Linked DNA regions of Stegostoma tigrinum. The protein of the gene in region 2 binds, or shares a complex with, the protein of the main gene of each other region. Links are inferred from orthologs where the notes say so. Each region holds a gene or a part of one and is shown on either strand. Other genes may lie near its edges.

Region 1 (10,448 bases), on a different chromosome or scaffold from region 2:
TTTGATGGTTGGGGTGCTGTACTGTAGATCATACAAGATACACTGCAGCTAATTGCCAAGACTATTCACAAAGTATCTCCCAACTTGTAATTTTTGAACAGGCACAGACTGTTGATGAAAGCATCACCTCCAAGTTGATCGCCATACCTTATCAATACAGGGGATTAGTGAACAGTGATCAACAGAAAGCGGGGTTCCAAAAATTTTGATTTCCTCTCTCAAGCCCAATATTGTTTCCACCCCTCAACACATCTTCAACTACGTTTTGGTTAAGACTGCTGCCATACTAGGCATTATAATACATCTACTACAGGGGTAGAAATGTGTCAAGATAAAATTTGAATATTTCTGAAGAGAGAGACATGCTGTCAAAGCTTCATCAGGGCAGATGAATACAGGGAGAGCTAGCCATTTGGCTACAAACTTGGTTTGAAGGTAGGAGAACGTGGTGGTGGATGGTTGTTTTTCGGACTGCAGTCCTGTGACCAGCAGTGTGCCACAAAGTTCAGGGCTGAGTTCACTGCCTTCTGTTGTTTATATAAATGATTTGGATGTGAACATAGGAGGTATGATTAGTAGATGTGCAGATGACACCAAAGTCAGTGGTGCAGTGAACAATGAAGAAGGTTACCTCAGAGCACAAAAAGACCTTGATCAGATGGACCAATGGGCTGAGGAATGGCAGATGAAGTTTAATTTAGATAAATGTGAGATTTTGCATTTTGTAAGGCAAACCAGGCAGAACTTACACACTTAATGGTAGGGTCTTGGGCAGTGTTGCCAAATGAAGTGGCCTTGGGTAGACAGGGTAGTGAATAAACTGTTTTGTACACTTGCCTCCATTGGTCAGTGCACTGAGTACAGGAATTGAGATGTCATGTGGTGGCTGTACATGGCACTGGATAGGCCACTTTTGGAATGTTGTGTTCAATTCTGGTCTCCCTGCAATAGGAAAGATTGGTTAAACTTGAAAGGGTACAGAAAAGACTTACAAGGATAATGCTGAGGTTGGAGGACTTGAGAGGTTGAATAGGCTGGGGTTGTTTTCCCTGGAGCATCGGAGGCTGAGGTGAGTGACTTATAGAGGTTTATAAAATCATGAGGGGCGTGGATTATGTGAATAGCCAAGGTCTTTTTACACAGGGTAGGGAAGTCCAAAACTAGAAGGCATAGGTTTAAGGTGAGAGGGGAAAGATTTAATAGGGGCCTAAAGGGCAACTTTTACACAGAGAGGGTGGTGCATGTATTGAATGAGATGTCAGAGGAAGTGGTGGAGGCTGGTACAGTTGCAATGTTTGAAAGGCATCAGAATGGTTACATGAATTGGAAGAGTTTAGAGGAATATGGACCAAATGCTGGCAAATGAGTCTATATTAATATCGGAAACCTGATCAGCATGGATGAGTTGGACTGAAAGGTACAGCCCAGCTGTAGACTGCCGTACAGCCCTATGACTCTAAAAATATAAAATTCCCAAGGAAGCAATTATTTATACTACATGAAAGGATGTATTGGCACTGGAAAGGGTGCAGAGGAGGTTCACTAGGTTGATTCCACAGTTCAGAGAGTTGGCTTATGAGGAGGCATTGAGAGTAGAATGGGAGTATACTCATTGGAATATTGAAGAATGAGGGGGAAACTTATCAAACAATATAAAATTATAAATGGAATATATAAGGTAGAAGCAGGGAAGTTGTTTCCACTGGCAGGTGAAACTAGAACTAGGCGTACAGCCACAATATAAGGGGTAGCAGATTTAGGAGTGAGTTGAAGAGAAACTTCTTCACCCAAAGGGTTGTGAATCTGTGGAATTCCCATCCCAGTGAAGTGATTGAGGCTATCTCATTGGATGTTTTTAAGGCAAAGATACTGAGATTTTTGAACCTGGGAGGAAATAGGTTTTATGGTGAGTGGGCAGGTAAGTCCATGAGTTGAGTCCATGAAAAAATTGGCCATGACCTTATTGAATGGTAGAATAGACTCAATGGGCCAGATAGCCTCCTCCTGCTTCTATTTTTAATGATCTTATGAGAATAGAATGTTGATTGGTTATTAAGTCAGCTCTGATTGGCCCAACTATTACTATTAAAAATGTACCATGGGGTGATTGTTCCGATGTTTTTGTTTATTTCAGAAATGGAGCAATGTCTGGCCAAACCACTTTTGTTGCATATGACTGCTTGTGGATCAGTGTCGGCGTAAGTGAGCTACAATGCACCATTCCCAACTAGTAATCTTAAATTCATTGTTAGTGTAATTCCTAGTACATTGAGTTCTTCAGTAAATGCTGCCCTGTCACAGAATCACATCTAAACTTTAAACCTGTCCTCTGCAGAATAACTCAGTGCCACCTTTCTTCAGGCTGGCACTTATTTAAACCCAGTAGCCAGTGGAAAAGTACAAAGTAGGGTCTGTCTGTTTGTGTATGTGGAGGCATGTTTTTAATAGTCTGAAAACTTGTCAAAACGTTTAAAAGAAAATATGGATTAATTACTGGTAGAAGTAATGAGAGAAGGAAAATACCAGTTGCCATCAAGCTAGTCCCACGCTGATCACAGTTACAGTATTATACACTTGCTTCTAACCATCACCATATAATCACATGGAAAAAGGGTAAAAAAAAAATCCCTGCAAAGTTTCTCTTTGATCTGTTCAAGTTATGGAAACTAAGCTGTATGGTGGCACTGACCATGTATACAGTAACTGCTAATCCATTGACCTTCTCTGATACAGCTCCTTCACCAGAGAGGAAACACACCAGCGGCTTTTTAAAGCACAGTGATGCTCAATAGCCACCTTTCTACTTCTTCAAAGTCCTCCAAATGATCCCTTCTTCATCCCTCTAAATGGCAAAGCTGTTTCCTATTGAAGTGGGGAGTTGGGGTGGGGCTATCTGTAGATAATGATATCTACAAAATATAACCACAACTGTCTCATATCGCACCTCAAACTCAGTGAAATATACCAATGGGCTTCAGAGCAGTGCAATTGAGTAAAATTTAGTACAACAATAGGGAGGTAATAAGCAAGGTGACCGAGAAGGTAAGCTTTTAGGGAGCATCTTAAAGGAAAACTGCTGACAATTCCCTTTTTGATATTATTACGATTTAGATGTAATATAGATATTTCATAGGAACCGTATGTGCATATAGAACAATTATTAATCATCAAAGCATCACAAGTGATGGTTTGATAGCAAACAGAAGTTTTGGAACGACAGAACTGGCGAAAGTAAAGGTTCTTCTGAAGTTGTATAGTGTGTTCCTACGATCTCCCGCTGTTTGTCAGATCAAGGAGAAAAAGCACTGAAAATGCTGGTACTTTGGACACTGCCTATTGTTTCTCAACATCATGCTGAGTGATCTACTCCTGTTACCAAGTCTTCCCCATCGATTACAAAATCAGAGGGAAGCCAGAAAGATAAGTTTGCAGCGAACTTCCCAAAGTCTGTGAAGTCGAACTCACCGAAAAGCGAGAGTATCCCGCAGGCGGTCCACATAACCAGGGCCATCCCTACGGTGCCAGTGTGCTTCAGGATTCCCTTGGGAGAGATGAAGATGCCCGCTCCGATGATCGTGCCGATAATGATCGATATTCCTCTCAGCAGAGTCACTTTCTTCTTTAACCGCACCTTGTCCCGGGGGCTGTCATTTTGCTGCCGGGATCCCCCCTCAGGGGGCAGGAAACCCTTGGTGCCCCCGCTGGGGGGTTCTCCGCTAGAGATCGCCGATATTGCGCTGCTGGACATGTTGCTCAATTTCAGCGGGGAGCCACCGGTGCCTCTCGCTACACACTCCCTGGCTCACTGAATGCCACGGGGCTCTGCGCCCTGGCAGGTGGATGTGTGATTTAAATCGGATTCTGGCCTCGAACACTCATATCACAGATTAGCTCCGTGTATGTGTGTGTGCATCAGGCTCTGTGTGTTCGTTAGTCTGTGCGTGTCTGTTTGGCTCTGTCTGTGTTTGGTTCTGCTGCACTAGACCCTCCTAAAAGTAACAAGCCCGCTTCCGCCGGCTCTTTATTCAGCCCCGGGCAAACAAACACTTAGTTGATGTCATTACTGGGGATGTGTTGCATCAGCCAGCGAATATTACTCAGCACTTTCCCCGTACCCTCGCTGCTTGGGCAACTCAAATTCCTTCACACGTTTTCTATCACTTTGATTCCCTCTCCTTATTTCTGCGCGACTCTCTTAACTACCATCCCCTTTTTTCGAAGACAAAACACGACTAAACGTTTCAGGTATTCTGACTTCCTGAGCACCCTACTTCAACGGAAATCTTATTTCAATACCTGTGTGTGTGAATATATTGAACATTAGAGGCAGCAACTGATCTGCAGTAGTTTAATTAATTTCTCCTCATCCAGTGACCTGTAAGTGGTTATGACACACTTCTAGGGCAAGTAAGGACTTGATTCCCAATCTTCACTGCACCATAAGGCCCTCTTGCCCTTTTGTTGTATGTACACAGGGACGCGGTGGCACTCCGGTCTACTGTGATGTTGGAAATATTCGCACAAATAGTGACTCACATACACAAACATAAAACAAACACTCCCACTACTGAAATCTCAGAGAATTCTATCACCTTTCTAGATTGTTCTTGTCCAATGACTCAGCAGGTTACCCTCCCACATTCTCAATCAGAAGTTACACCACATCAGGCTGTAGTCCAACAGGTTTATTTGAAATCACAAGTTTTTGAAGCGCTGTTCCTTCACCTGTCGGAGGGGCTGTGCTCTGAAAGCTTGTGATTTCAAGTAAACCTATTAGACTATAACTTGGTGTGGTGTGACTTCTGACTTTGCCCAGCCCAGTCTGACACTGGCACCTCCACATCACAATGTTCTCAATCAAAACTCCAGCTCAATCAAAATTCTGTTGCTCGAATCCTGTCCCATGTCATATCTTCCTCAAGCAGCATTCCAATCCTTGCTGACAAAGCTTGATATCCATAGTCTTTGATCTGAAACACGGGCTGAAACTTACATCTCTATGTTGAAGTGTCAGTTTCATTGAGTTCCATGGAAGAGTTTATCTCTGGATGGCCTGACGAAATCTCACACTGCATCTGACCAAACTCACCTCATTAACTACCTACCCCACTGCTGTAACTTCTTTCTCACTGAAATCTAGCCTCACCCCATCAATTGCCATTTTTGGAACTCGACAACCAACAGATATCCATTTAAAAACTGGCGCCCATGCCATCTTTAAAAGGCTACTGTGCCCCTGGAAAAGTGTTGTAAGCTTGTTGTTGCATCTCACCAGCAACACAATGGCACAGCCATCACAAAACCTCACTGCCTACAGCATGGCGCTGGCATGGCTAACACATCCTCATCCATACAACCCCATTTTTCCACCCTAAGCACTGTAAACAACAAGGCAATGTCCTTATATATATCCCATATGAACATCCTCTCTACGTCACCTCCACTATACAGAAGAATATAAGAACTAGGAGCAGGAATAGGTTGTCCGGCCCTTCAAGCCTGCTCTGCCATTCAATAAGATCACGGCTGATCTTTTCATGGACTCAGATCCACTTACCCGCGCTCTCACCGTATCCCTTAATTCCTTTATTGTTCAAAAAAATATCTATCTTAGCTTTAAAAACATTTACTGAAGTAGCGTCAACTACTCCACTGGGCAAGGAATTCCATATTTTAGCAACCCTCTGGGTGAAGAAGTTCCTTCTCAATTCAGTCCTAAATCTGCTCCCTGTAATCTTGAGGCTATACCCTCTCGTCCTAGCTTCACCTGCCAGTGGGAACATCCTCTCTACTTCTATCTTATCTATTTCCTTCATAATTTTATATGTTTCTGTAAGATCCCCCCTCAATCTTCTGAATTCCAATGAATATAATCCCAATCTACTCAGTCTCTCCTCATAAGCAACCACCTCAACTCCGGGATCAACCCAGTGAACCTCCTTTGCACCCCCTCCAGTGCCAGTACATCCTTTCTCAAGTACTGAGACCAAACCTGCACACAATACTCCAGGTATGGCCTCACCAGCACCTTGTACAGCTGCAGCATAACCTCTCTGCTTTCAAACTCAATCGCTTCAGAAATAAAGGAAAAAAGTCCATTTGCCTTCCTAATTACTTGTTGTACTTGTAGACCAACCTTCTGTGATTCCTGCACAAGGACACCCAGGTCCCTCTGCATGGCAGCATGCTGCAACTTTTTACCATTCAAGTAATAATCCTTTTAGCCAAATCCAAAATTGGAGTCCCCAACTCCAAATCATCTATATAAATTGTAAATAATTGTGGTCCCAACATCTATCCCTGAGGCACACCACTGGTCACTGATTGCCAGCCAGAATATCCCCACTCATTTATCCCCACTCTTTGCTTTCTGTTAGTCAACCTCTACCCATGCTAATACTTTACCCCTAACACCATGCAACTTATCTTATGCAGCAGCCTTTTGTGCACCACCTTGCCAAAGGCCTTTTGGAAATCTAGGTACTCCACATCCACTGGGTCCCCATTGTCCACCTTGCTCGTAATGTCCTCATAGAATTCCAAAAGATTGTCAAGCATGACCTGCCCTTCATGAACCCATGCTATGTCTGCCCAATGGGACAATTTCTATTGAGATGCCTTGCTATTTCTTCCTTGATGATAGACTTAAGCATCTTCCCCACTACAGAGGTTAAGCTAACTGGTCTGTAATTCCCCACCTTTCGTCTAGATCCCTTTTTCAACAGTGGCGTCACATTTACTGTTTTCCAACCTGCTGGGACTGCCCCAGAGTCCAGCGAATTTCGGAAAATTACCACAAGTCCACCTGCTATTTCTCCCGCCATCTCTTTTAGCACCCTGGGATGCATTCCGTCAGGACCAGGAGGCTTATCAATCCTTAGCTCCTTTAGCTTGCCCAACACTACCTCTTCTGTAATAATGATTGTTTCCAGGTCCTCAACTACCTTCGTCTTTTTGTCAATTACTGACATGTTATTAGTGTCCTCCACTGTGAAGAGCGCAATACCAAATACCTGTTCAATGCCTCTGCCATTTCATCATGTCCCAGAACTAAATTCCCCTTCTCATCCTCTAAAGGGCCAACATTTACTTTTGCTACTCTTTTTCATTTTATATATTTATAGAAACTTTTGCTATCTGTCATTATAGTCTGTGCTAGTTTTTTCTCATGTTCAATCTTACTTTTCTTTACAGCTCTTTTTGTGGCTTTCTGTTAACATTTAAAGTTTTCCCAACCTTCTTATTTCACGCCGTTTTTGGCCACTTTGCAAGCCTTCTCTTTTAATTTGATAGCGTCCCTTATTTCCTTAGACACCCATGGCAGATTACCCCTTTTCATACAGACCTTCGTTTTCACTGGATTAAACATAATTCAGAGAAGGCTTGTCTAACAGTAATTTGTTTCCTTTGTCTGCTGTCACCTTCTGAGGTAGACAGCCACAGTGACCAACATCTCATCAGCGACTGGGTGCATGACACTTTTTGTAAATGACTTTAGTTTGGAACATTTGGAGTAAAATAGGCCCTTAGTGCAGAACAATCATTGGTGTCAGGCCCTGAAAATGAGGGATACACACAGTCTTTCACACACCGATAAGTGGGGCTGTGTATCATTCATTCAGCTTCAACCTCAGAATATTCACTAGCTTGAGGAAAGAGCCATCCTGACTGAGTGATCAACAGATTACATCACAGAGGCTGTGACTGTGATGCACAACCTCCTTACCATCCCAAACCCAAATCAACCATGAAATTCATCATTGAATTCCATGAATCCATTGTCATACTTACTTGACAGGTCATATATCTCCACTTCGCACAGTGCCCTTGCAAGTTTCACAGTTATTGGTTGTTTTTGGCAAGTATATGCCTTTTTTTCAAGTTGTTGCTGTAAATTTCTGCATTACTGAGATATCATTGTTAGATTTACAAAGGCCAGTTGTGTATTCCAAATTGTCTTTGACTAGCTTTTGTACCCAGATCTCTGCCAGACTTTCACGACTAACACAACACCTGGCTGCTGTCTTTTTAACATCATGACTGCCAATATACAATTCTCCTGGCTCTACGGGATTGACTGTTGCCCACTACCTGGACTGTGATCAGATGTATCCCCTGACTGCAGCTTGCCCAAGCAGACAACTGACCTTGTCAAGCCTCTCATTTCCCTGACTGTCACTGGACTGAGGAGTATCTCTCAACCACTTTCTAACATGATCATTTGGTTGAACAATCATGTATTTGCCCAACAGTCATTTGGCATGAGTTGTGTGAGTTAAATTGATGCCTCAGTTTACCGTACAGCAAAATTTCCCTCAAACTCCCCAAACAAATCCCTACAGACAAGCAGCCTGACTGCATCATCAATAATCAGAAAAAAATAACTCTCCCTAGAGAAGGAAATCTGTCATCCTTACCTGGTCCAGCCTACATTCCAAATTCACAAGACTGGTTAACTCATAATGGCCTTCCAAAATGGCTAATCAGGCCATTCAATTCACGGACAAATAGGGATGGGCAACAAATGTTGGTGTTGACTATGGTGCTGACTTCCATTAAAATAAGTTCTTAAAACCTGTAACTTAATCATAACAAAATGCTCCTTTAAACTGCTGTCTGAGTTTAAATAGAAGGAGTATGTACTTAATTTATTTAATCCAGCCTTCTTTTCTCTTCCTCTTCAATTGTAAGGCAGTGAAGGCCTGTTTTTTGCAGTTGCGGAATGTCAAAAATGAGAATATAGCATCATGCGTGGAGGAAGCGTAGCTCCATTCTGTTTTGTCCCTACCTCAACAGCTTACTAAAGAACTTCCATTCAGATAGCAGCACAGTAGGTTGTTCTAGCTGATGCTGATCTGGTCCACCAATTCTTTTCCTTTTTTGTCTCTCTCTCTTCCTCCCTTCTGTGGCTTTCTTCTCCTCTTCTGTCTTCTCAGAGTCTTGGCCTTGGTCACCCAGCCCCAACCTTTGAAGCGGGGACGCCAGTAAACACTGACCCGAAGCAGGGATGGCAGCGACCAGCAGCCTGAAGCAGGGATGCCAAGAATACTGGCCTGAAGCGGGACACCAACGGCTCGGTGTGAAACGGGATTGTGGCTGGTGTGGAGCGTGACAGCTGCGACCCAGTGCAGAGAGTGACAACAGTGGCCTGGTGCGGAGCATATTGGCAGCCAGTGATCAGGCCACATGGAGGCCTCCTGGGCTGATCTGATGTGGAGAGCCCTTGGAGAAAGGCTGTGATGTTTGTCTTCTTAACATTGCTTTATCTTTTTCTGATCTATGGTTATACTGTATATAGCTGTAACGTAACTGTTTTGTCTTTGTTTTTCTATTCTGCAACTAAGAATTGTAACTAGGTACAACTAAGCTGGCAGTGTGTGTTGGTGACACTGTAATTGAACCTGTAACTGAAGAAGCTGTTCCTGGGTACCTATATACCTAAATGGGGCTATAAGTGGTGACTTATAAACTTTACATTGTACTCATTTAAGTACATGTGACAATAAAGATAATTCAACATTCAATATTCAGATGGTTATATCCATTACAATTATAAATGGATGAAACTTGGCTAGAAAGTTTGTTTTAACTGAGATTCATATCCAGATTTTGTAAGTGACGAGGAACTCAGACCCACTCTCTGTCATTCAAGAATTTTCAACCAGCTGTACACATCACAAATGGATGAATAGGCTGCTCAGGTTTCTCTTAAAAGAGAAGGTGGAGGGGCTAAAAGATCTCAAAAAGTACTAAAGGTTTTGATTGAGTTGATACAAGGAGCATATTTCCTTTGCTGGAAAGAACTAGACTAAAATCCAACAGTATATATAGTCCGAGGGAAATCCAGCAGAAAATTCAGAGGAAATTAATTTACACAAAGAAGGATGAAAATGTAGAAGCTGCTATCACAGGCAGTAGTTGAAACATGGAATATAGATGGAGTTGGTGGGCAGCTTAGGTATATACTTGATAGATAAAGGGGTAGAGTGATGCTGATAGTGTTAGGAAGAGTGGGAAAAATCTTAAGTGGAACATAAGCACCAAGAGATTTGAAATCCGGTGGTAATTGGCCATCATCAACATACACAAGGTGAATTCCAGTATTCATCATGTCTCTACAGACAGCTCACCCAAAGAAAGTCATCTATTTTGGTCCAGCTGCTGTACAGTTACAGACCTCAGGTAAGTTTCAAAATGAGATTTAGAGTGGGCTACGAGTGGATGGTCACACATGAAGTTGGTGTGTGTTAATTTCACTTCTTTGACTCCTCAAAGCTTTCTTTTATAACAAGAAATATTTTTTGAAACTTACTTCCATGGGCAGCTCTTGGGATTGGAGAAAAAATCTGAGCTGAGCCAGGCCCAATATCAGCCTCGCTCATCATAGACTAATTTTACCAAAGAGTCTTTTAACAGGGTCTGAATTAGTGTGCTCAAGGACCCATTGT
Region 2 (10,188 bases):
AACTGGACTCTCATTTAGTCGCATTGTCAGGTTAGAGAATGGTGTTTAACACTCGGCAGCCACAGAACCAGGAGTAGCCCATGGTAAATCATACTCTCTCCCTCAGAAATGGTGCAGGAAGGATCCATTGGTCCATCAGGGATGCCTCAACTCTTGGAGGATTTCAGTTCAGGGCCATTCCCTCAGCTTGGTCACGGGACAAATAACCCAGCCTGTTAGTTACTTTCTATTGCATTGTGCAGTGCACAAAAAGATCCCAGAACCTGTTTCCCCGTTTGAGTGAATCTGGCTTAGTTACTGTTCAGAATCATCAACAGGAAAAAAAGAACATTCCCTCTCACTTTCTTACTGGCTGTGTACGCCTCCATGGCCTGTGTGAGGCAGTAACTTCCAGAACCCAAGATCATCACTGCGATCAGCTTCCGGACTCCAATCACTGTGCACAGAACACAGGGTGGCTTCATACACAACCTATCGAGGGAACATTACAGGGTGGTCCCTGGGTTACTGTTCCACCCAAAGACAGCACCTCTGACAGTGCTTACTCCCTCAGCATTGACCCTCCGACAGTGCGGCGCTCCCTCAGCACTGACCCTCCAACAGTGCGGCGCTCCCTCAGCACTGACCCTCCGACAGTGCGGCGCTTCCTCAGCACTGACCCTCTGACAATGTGGCGCTCCCTCAGCACTGACCCTCCAACAGTGCGGCGCTTCCTCAGCACTGACCCTCTGACAGTGCGGCGCTCCCTCAGCACTGACCCTCCGACAGTGCGGCGCTTCCTCAGCACTGACCCTCCGACAGTGCCTGCTCCCTCAGCACTGACCCTCTGACAATGTGGCGCTCCCTCAGCACTGACCCTCCAACAGTGCGGCGCTTCCTCAGCACTGACCCTCTGACAATGTGGCGCTCCCTCAGCACTGACCCTCCAACAGTGCGGCGCTCCCTCAGCACTGACCCTCCGACAGTGCGGCGCTCCCTCAGCACTGACCCTCCGACAGTGCGGCGCTTCCTCAGCACTGACCCTCTGACAATGTGGCGCTCCCTCAGCACTGACCCTCCAACAGTGCGGCGCTTCCTCAGCACTGACCCTCTGACAGTGCGGCGCTCCCTCAGCACTGACCCTCCGACAGTGCGGCGCTTCCTCAGCACTGACCCTCCGACAGTGCCTGCTCCCTCAGCACTGACCCTCCAACAGTGCGGCGCTCCCTCAGCACTGACCCTCCGACAGTGCGGCGCTTCCTCAGCACTGACCCTCCGACAGTGCCTGCTCCCTCAGCACTGACCCTCTGACAATGTGGCGCTCCCTCAGCACTGACCCTCCAACAGTGCGGCGCTCCCTCAGCACTGACCCTCCGACAGTGCGGCGCTCCCTCAGCACTGACCCTCCGACAGTGCGGCGCTTCCTCAGCACTGACCCTCCGACAGTGCCTGCTCCCTCAGCACTGACCCTCTGACAATGTGGCGCTCCCTCAGCACTGACCCTCCAACAGTGCGGCGCTCCCTCAGCACTGACCCTCCGACAGTGCGGCGCTCCCTCAGCACTGACCCTCCGACAGTGCGGCGCTCCCTCAGCACTGACCCTCCGACAGTGCGGCACTCCCTCAGCACTGACCCTCCGACAGTGCCTGCTCCCTCAGCACTGACCCTCCGACAGTGCGGCGCTCCCTCAGCACTGACCCTCCGACAGTGCCTGCTCCCTCAGCACTGACCCTCCGACAGTGCCTGCTCCCTCAGCACTGACCCTCCGACAGTGCCTGCTCCCTCAGCACTGACCCTCCGACAGTGCGGCGCTCCCTCAGCACTGACCCTCCGACAGTGCGGCGCTCCCTCAGCACTGACCGTCCGACAGTGCGGCACTCCCTCAGCACTGACCCTCCAACAGTGCGGCGCTCCCTCAGCACTGACCCTCCGACAGTGCGGCACTCCCTCAGCACTGACCCTCCGACAGTGCCTGCTCCCTCAGCACTGACCCTCCGACAGTGCGGCGCTCCCTCAGCACTGACCCTCCGACAGTGCCTGCTCCCTCAGCACTGACCCTCCGACAGTGCGGCGCTCCCTCAGCACTGACCCTCTGACAATGTGGCGCTCCCTCAGCACTGACCCTCCGACAGTGCGGCGCTTCCTCAGCACTGACCCTCCGACAGTGCGGCGCTCCCTCAGCACTGACCCTCCGACAGTGCGGCGCTCCCTCAGCACTGACCGTCCGACAGTGCGGCACTCCCTCAGCACTGACCCTCCAACAGTGCGGCGCTCCCTCAGCACTGACCCTCCGACAGTGCGGCACTCCCTCAGCACTGACCCTCCGACAGTGCCTGCTCCCTCAGCACTGACCCTCCGACAGTGCGGCGCTCCCTCAGCACTGACCCTCCGACAGTGCCTGCTCCCTCAGCACTGACCCTCCGACAGTGCGGTGCTCCCTCAGCACTGACCCTCTGACAATGTGGCGCTCCCTCAGCACTGACCCTCCGACAGTGTGGCGCTTCCTCAGCACTGACCCTCTGACAGTGCGGCGCTTCCTCAGCACTGACCCTCCGACAGTGCGGCGCTCCCTCAGCACTGACCCTCTGACAGCGCGGTGCTCCTTCAGCACTGACCGTCCGACAGTGCCCGCTCCCTCAGCACTGACCCTCCGACAGCGCAGTGCTCCTTCAGCACTGACCCTCCGACAGTGCCCGCTCCCTCAGCACTGACCCTCCGACAGTGCCCGCTCCCTCAGCACTGACTCTCCGACAGTGCGGCACTCCCTCAGCACTGACCCTCTGATAGTGCCCACTCCCTCAGCACTGACCCTCCGACAGTGCCCGCTCCCTCAGCGCTGACCCTCCGACAGTGCGGCACTCCCTCAGCTCTGACCCTCCGACAGTGCCCGCTCCCTCAGCACTGACCCTCCGACATTGCCCGCTCCCTCAGCACTGACCCTCCGACAGTGCCCACTCCCTCAGCGCTGACCCTCCAAATGAGTTGTGTTCCCTTCTGACACGTGACCTTCCTTCTGTTTGGACACTGACCAGAACTGTACACTGTACTGCAGATGTGGTCTCACCAATGCCCTGTATGACTGAACCCTAAACTCTCTACTATTTCCATTAAGTCCTCTTGCGAGTATTGAGTGCAGTTTTGTTGCCCCTCTTACTCAATGCTCCACAATTATGTGTTTTTCTTTAGGTTTGATATTATCTTTGAACTTCTTAGTTAGCCATGGAAGGTGGATCCATCCCATGATTTTTTTCTTGCTGATTGAAATGTCTCTATTCTGTATATTCTGAAATATCCCCTGCATTGAATCTATTGACCTAAACTTTAACCTAATTTGCCAATTCACTTTAGCGAGCTCTTTTTTCATGTCCTGATAGTTCCCCTTATTTAAAAATAGCCTCAAACACACTCAAATTTCCCTCAAACTGAATGTAAAATTCCATTGTATTGTGTTACTGCTTTGTAGGGGCTTGTTTACTGTGAGATCATTAATGAAGTCTACCTTGTTGCACAGCACTGGATTCAGTATAGCCTGCTCTCTGGTTGGCCCTATAACATGCTGTTCCAAAAAAACTATCTGGAAAACATTCTGAGCTACCTTGCCCATCTGAATTTTTTTAGTTTATATGTAACTTTGTGAATAATTCTTGTTGTGTCATCCTGACAAGCTTCTTTAGGCTCCACCCTACCATGCAGTGATTGTCAAGGGCCTGCGTACCACTCCCACAAGTGACTTCTTGCCTTTATCTCTTCTTATCTCAATTTAGACCATTTCTACAACCTCATCCCTGAACCTAGGCCCAAACTTCTGAAGAAGGGTCCTGACCCAAAACATCAGCTTTCCTGATTCTCTGATGCTGCCTGACCTGCTATGTTCCTCCAGCTCCACACTGTTGTTCTGGATGTGAGTTTGCTCGCTGAGCTGGAAGGTTAGTTTTCACTGTTGTCTTTGACTCCGGAATCAGCAGTTTTTACTATCTCATCCTTCTCTATTGTATGCCTGCCATCATTAATGAACAGAGCCACCCCTCTGCCTTTTCCTAGCTCATTCTTTCCCTAAATATCAGAGTCCTGATGAAGGCTCCTGACCCGAAACGTCAGCTTTCCTGCTCCCCGATGCTGCCTGACCTTCTGTGTTCCTCCAGCTCCACACTGTATTGACTCTGTATCCTAAAATATACAGATGCTTATCCACAGTATCTTATAGCCATGTCTCTGTCATGGCTACCAAAGCACATCTATTCACTTCTATTTGTGCTTTCAATTCAGCCATTTTGTTTATCAATTACAGACAGTTCAATTCCAGATCCTAAATACTCACTGTGTGAAAGAGATTCCTTTTGCCTTGCAATTGCACTTTTTTCTGCGTCTTCTGGTTCTTGATCCTTTAACACAGAATAGCTTCTCCCTGTCAACTCTGTCCACATATCTCATGACTTAGAAAAACTCTATTAAATCTTCTCAAGTGTTTTGAAATGCATGGTATGGGGGTGGGGAGGGAGGGTTGGAGAATGGGTGAAGCAAGTGTAGTGACATGAATGCAAAACTGGTTGGCAGACAAGAGACAAAAAGTGGCAACAAACAGGTCACTTTCGCAAGTGGCAGCCAGTGACTAATGACGTACTGCAAGGTTCAATATTCGGACCCCAACTATTCACAACATACACAAATAATTTAGATGAGGAAACTAAGTGTAATGTCTAAGTTTGCAGAGGGTGAACTGTGCGGTAGGTGCAGAGATGCTTCAGTGTGATTTCAACAAATTGAATCCATGGGCAAATGTATGGCAGATGCAGTTTAATGTGGACAAATGTGAGGTTATCCACTTTGGGAGCAAAACCAGGAAGGCAGATTCTGATCTGAATGGTGATAGATTGAGAAAGAGGGAGGTGTCGTCGTGCAACAGTCGCTGAAAGTAAGAAGTAACATTGCAGCTTCAGCAGAAACCAAAGGGAAATGGTCTGTTGGCCTGCAGAGAGAGAGATTTCGAGAACATGAACAAGGTGCCTTGCTCAATTCCACAGGGTCTAGGTGAGGCCATATATGGAGTATTGTGTTAGAAAAAAAATGCAGATGCTGGAATCTAGGTGGACAAACAGGAGGCTGGAAGAACACAGCAAGCCAGGCAGCGTCTGCAGGAAAGGAGCAATCAACATTTTGAGCGTTACCCTTCCTCAGGACAGTTTGTCGACCTGGAGTGTTGTGTGCAGTTTTGGTGGGCCTTTCAGCAAAAGATGTTCTAGCTATGAGGGAGTACAATGAAAGTTAATGAGACTGATTCCTGGGAGATCAGTTAGGGCCATATTCACTGGAATTTAGAAGAATGAGGGGGTTATCTCATAGAAACCTATAAAATTCTAACTGGACCAGAGAAGGTAAATGCAGGAAGGACATCTCCTTTCCTAACCTTCTCTGTTCTGATCAGAATAATTCCAACTCTCCAGTCTGTCTACATTTCCTGAAGTCCTTGTGCCCCTGAGATTTTTGGTAAATCTTCCACGTTGTGAACATTGGAAGTTCCACCTTAAATTCTGCAGTGACGAGGAGAGGAGGAGACAAGGCAGAACGTTAAAAAGGGGAAGGGAGGGAGGCGGAGTTCCTCAGAGAAAGAGAGACGGACTGAAGGCGGGAGTGGGCTCCGAGAGAACACACAGTTGTAGTTTTAAAGCCCTGCGGCTTAGTGCTTGGAGGATTATTACTGCGATAGTATTACAGGCTTTGGAGTATTACAGGGCAGTGGGGAGCAGTCTTGCAGAATCAGGAGGGCTGTGGGGACGGTATTGCAGCGTTAGCGGGGCTGTAGGGGCGGAAGGATGAGCTCAGAGGCCGGGATGAAGGATGCTGAGTTGGGCCTGAAGGAGGTTGAGCTGAATGAGGTGGACCAGGAGAAGGTACCGATGACAGCGGGCCTGCCTGGGGATACAAACGGGGCTCTGAAGGGGGAGAAGGGAGAAGTGAGCGGCGGCTCTGGGCTTCGTGTTGGACCGGGCTCCCCCTCCGTGTTCACGGGCCTGAGTAAAGAGGAGTTGCTGGCGGTAGCGAGTAGCCCGGCCTGGGTTCGGAGCCGCTGGCTGCTCCTGGCCCTGTTCTGGCTGGCCTGGCTCGCTATGTTGGCCGGGGCCGTGCTCATTATTGTCCGGGCCCCGCGCTGCCGCCCGCTCCCTGCCGCCCGATGGTGGCACCGCGGCGGCCTCTACCGCATCCACAGCCCGGCCTTCCAGGACTCGGATGGAGACGGCGAGGGGGACCTTGCAGGTACCGGGGGGGGGAAAGAAGGGGCACCGGGGGTCGGGTACTCGGGTTCGGGGAGGGAGGGAGGGAACCGGGGGTTGGGGGGAGGGGCTGTGGGTAGCGGCGGTAGGTCTCCGGTTGCGTCAGCCTGAGGGGCGGGTCATTGCTCACCTTTAAACCTCAGGCCCCGCCCCTGGACGTCACGTGCTCCGGGATGGGGCGGGGCGGGGCGTGGCGGCGGAGGGGGGGTGCGTGTGCGCGCGTGCGCATTAAGGACGAGGAGATATGATGGGGAGTTCTAGAACCAGCAGAGGTTTTTGGGGGTGGGGTGGGTTTTGCTGAGACAGCAGAGGGGAGGCCTGGGACAGGGCAGCGAAGGGTGGCTGGATGGGGTGATGTGTGGCTGGGATCTGGTCTGGGACAGGATTACCAGCTTTTGGGAGCGAGGACTGTGGTGTGGTTCAGCCCCTGGGACTCAAGTGTTTATTTGCTATCGCCTGCAGGAGTGAGCCAGAGAATGGAGGAGATTGCTGCCCTCAAGGTCAAAGGCATTATCATTGGTCCAATCCACCAGAATGTTGCAGACATGGTCAATGAGACCAGGCTGAACAAGATCGATAGCACATTTGGCAGCTTGGAACAGATGCAGAACCTGCTAGAGGTGGCCAAGAGGAAAGGTAATTGTGAAAGCTCTCAAACTTTACTGGACTGTTCAGTAAATGTCATCAAACTGCAACATTACTGGGAAAAGGTCCTCCCTTCTGGGTGAATGCAAACCACAAGGGCCCCCCTGTCTGTGAATAAGAGGCAGTTCTGATTTAAAAATCTCGTAGACTATGGAGTGCAAGTGTGGGAGAAGGATCGGAGCGGCATTGATCACTGACCAGTGGAATCTGTGATTGCCTGCATGGATCTGGAGTATATCCTTCGTCAGGTGAGGTGACCCGAATTGCACACAATACTCCAGGTGCAAGCTCACCAGTGTACAGTGTAATTGAAACAATACTTCTGAGTTCCTGTACATAATGCTCTTGTAAGGCTTTGGAGTAGATCTGTAGCTCGGGCTGTGGGGGTTTTCAAACTCTGGGGTCCGTTGCGATGGATTGCCTCAATTCCGGGATTCCTCCGTAGTGGAATGTACCTGGGGCCAAGTTCAATGTGTTTATTAACAGCCTGCTTCGTGGAGTGCCATGCTTCCAGGATTTCTCGTGCTTGTCTCGGCTGAGCCTGTCCCAGGATCTCCAATGTAGTCAATACAGCAACACTTTCATGGACTGGTCCACTACATCGGACAAACAGGAAGGAAACCAAACAACAAAACTACATGAACACCAACTGGCTACAAAAAGACATGACCAGTACACACTCAGCTCAATCCACGTGGACAAGGAGAACCACCACTTTGACTGGGACAACACCAAGATCCTGGGACAGGCTAGGCAGAGACAGGCACAAGAATTTCTGGAAGCATGGCACTTCACGAAGCAGGCTATTTATGGGGCTGAGTTCAATGTGTCTATTAATAGCCTGCTTCGTGAAGTGCCATGCTTCCAGAAATTCTTGTGCCTGTCTCTGCCTAGCCTGTCCCAGGATCTTGGTGTTGTCCCAGTCAAAGTGGTGGTTCTCCTTGTCCACGTGGATTGAGCTGAGTGTGTACTGGTCATGTCTTTTTGTAGCCAGTTGGTGTTCATGTAGTTTTGTTGTTTGGTTTCCTTCCTGTTTGTCCGATGTAGTGGACCAGTCCATGAAAGTGTTGCTGTATTGACTACATTGGAGATCCTGGGACAGGCTCAGCCGAGACAAGCACGAGAAATCCTGGAAGCATGGCACTCCACGAAGCAGGCTGTTAATAAACACATTGAACTTGGCCCCAGGTACATTCCACTACGGAGGAATCCCGGAATTGAGGCAATCCATCGCAACGGACCCCAGAGTTTGAAAACCAGGTGGGAGAACGCACCGTTTCATCAGAGGCTGCACTGAGGATGTTACCAAGCACAGTAACAAAACGTCTGCGGAACAACAAACCAGCTCAGCGAACTAACCAACCTCGATAATCCTGTTGTGCTATATGCTAACAGACTGTTTGTTTGTCTTCTGAACTGTTTACTGGAACCAGCATGTGAGCATTCAGTAACTCCTGGACAAGGACAACTCAGTCCCTTTGTACATCAGCACTCTTCCAATCTCTCACCAGTTCAGAAATGAGTCAGCATTTCTGTGTTTCCTGCCCAAGTGGATACCTTCGCACACATCCACATTATATTCCATCTGCCATATCCCATGCCCAAGTTGTGGATGTTGCTTGTGATTTGGAACCAAGGACAGATCCTTCTGACCGCACACTGGTTACAGGCTACCATCCTGAGAATGACCCAATTATTCCCACTCTCTGCTGGCCCAGATTCTGTTTGTCACCCCCCGCCCCCCGCAACGTGTCAGAATCCCAAAAACCCACAGGTTATCTATCTGCCAATAACGTCTTCATGTTAAAACTCTTAACAAGTTTGCACATGATCTCCCTTTCAGCCAAGTCAACATGGATTTTTCAAACTGATCACCATTTGTTCAAATGCCCAGTTACTAAATCCTTAAACAATGGGGTTACATTTTTCACCCACCAATCCAGGGAATTTTGAAAGCTTATTGCATTAAAAAAACAAACCAAATCTCACCTCTATCCTGTAGCAGCTTGAAACTCAGTCAGATTTTGTGCCCAAACAGGTCTCAAGGTGATTCTTGATCTCACTCCCAATTACAAAGGAAAACAGAAGTGGTTCGGCATTAACTTCAACAGGACTGATGGTGGCCAGGATTTGTTACGGGTATGTGCCATTTCCATAAGGATACGGAGGGTTCCTCTTCCTCTTTGCTGTGGTGAATAGGTTAGGCTGGGCCTTGAGCCCTTCCCCCATCTGATTGGGTTTCAGACTCCTCTCCTGTGTGCTGAGCAAGAGGCAGTCACTATCTCTTGTGACATTGTCCTCGCTTGGGAAAGGGAATTAGGTGAGGGTGCACAGCACAGTATTAGGTAAAGCCTCTTAGAGTCATAGAGCTGTACAGCATGGAAACCAGCCCTTCAGTCCAACACGTCCAGATATCCTAAATAAATCTAGTCCCATTTGCTTGCATTTGACCCATATCTCTCTTAAACCCTTCCTATTCATGTACCCACCCAGATATCTTTTAAATATTGTAATTGTAACAGCCCCCACCACTTTGGCAGCTCGTTCCACACATGTACCACCCTCTGTGTGAAAATGTTGCTCCTTGGGTCCCTTTTATTATCTGTCCCCCCACCAACCCCAACCTTAAACCTATGCCATTTAGAACATAGAATGGCACAGTACAGGCCCTTCAGCCCATGATGTTGTGTTGACCTATTATCCTACCCTGCATACCGTACATTTTACTATCGTCCATGTGCCTATTCAAGAGTCGTTTAAACGTCCGGAATGTATCTGACTCCACTACCCCACCAGTAGTGCATTCCACACAGACACACACACACCACGTGTAAAGAACCTACCTCCAACATCTCCTCCAGACCTTCTTCCAATCATATTAAAATTATGCCCTCTCGTAATAGTCATGTCTGCCCTGGGAGACTCTATCCAGTTCTAGTTTTGGATTTCCCTACTCTCGGCAAAAGACCTTTCTGTGCCAATGATCTGCCACTGCCTGGTATTTTAAAAGTTTTTTTGGAGAAGTGGGATCAGCATTGCATACGAGACTCTGTCATGTCTTTGAATCAGTGAGTAGAAGGTTGACTCTGCGGGGAAGGGAACTTAAAGTAAGTTGATTGCAGAGCACAACATACTGGCCAGAATGCACTGGCACAGCGTGACAGTCTACATACACTATTTCCACTGGAAATGTTGACAGGTAGTTATATGGGTAAGCATTGTTAATGGGAAGTCCTTGACAGGAAGACCATGGTCTGAAAGGTGATTAATAATCTGTGCTGGATTTGATCTTAAA

The links. The genes of interacting proteins can lie anywhere in the genome.
Region 1: the proteins of slc3a2b (region 2) and slc7a11 are in contact, whole or in part, in a cryo-EM structure (PDB 7P9V), measured with the Homo sapiens proteins. The link is inferred for Stegostoma tigrinum from reciprocal best matches to the Homo sapiens genes SLC3A2 and SLC7A11. Residues at the interface, in NP_002385.3 of Homo sapiens: Glu167, Leu170, Ala173, Trp178, Thr181, Arg182, Phe189, Trp190, Trp193, Met196, Leu197, Gly199, Ala200, Ile203, Ile204, Ala207, Arg209, Cys210, Glu212, Leu213, Lys299, Arg534, Gln559; in NP_055146.1 of Homo sapiens: Leu151, Phe154, Phe155, Ile156, Gln157, Cys158, Glu159, Pro161, Leu163, Ala164, Leu167, Ile168, Ala170, Val171, Thr174, Val175, Val178, Gln217, Gln219, Val360, His373, Thr487, Gln489, Ile490, Ile491, Glu493, Val494, Val495.

Annotation. Positions count from the first base shown.
Region 1 is NC_081354.1:24,594,041-24,604,488, reverse strand, and holds the start of slc7a11 (cystine/glutamate transporter), read right to left. Parts: upstream 3,990-10,448; 5' UTR 3,749-3,989; coding exon 3,466-3,748; intron 1-3,465. UniProt on the Homo sapiens protein: Heterodimer with SLC3A2, that functions as an antiporter by mediating the exchange of extracellular anionic L-cystine and intracellular L-glutamate across the cellular plasma membrane.
Region 2 is NC_081395.1:2,197,657-2,207,844, reverse strand, and holds the start of slc3a2b (solute carrier family 3 member 2b), read left to right. Parts: upstream 1-5,563; 5' UTR 5,564-5,789; coding exon 5,790-6,231; intron 6,232-6,710; coding exon 6,711-6,884; intron 6,885-8,931; coding exon 8,932-9,032; intron 9,033-10,188. UniProt on the Homo sapiens protein: Acts as a chaperone that facilitates biogenesis and trafficking of functional transporters heterodimers to the plasma membrane.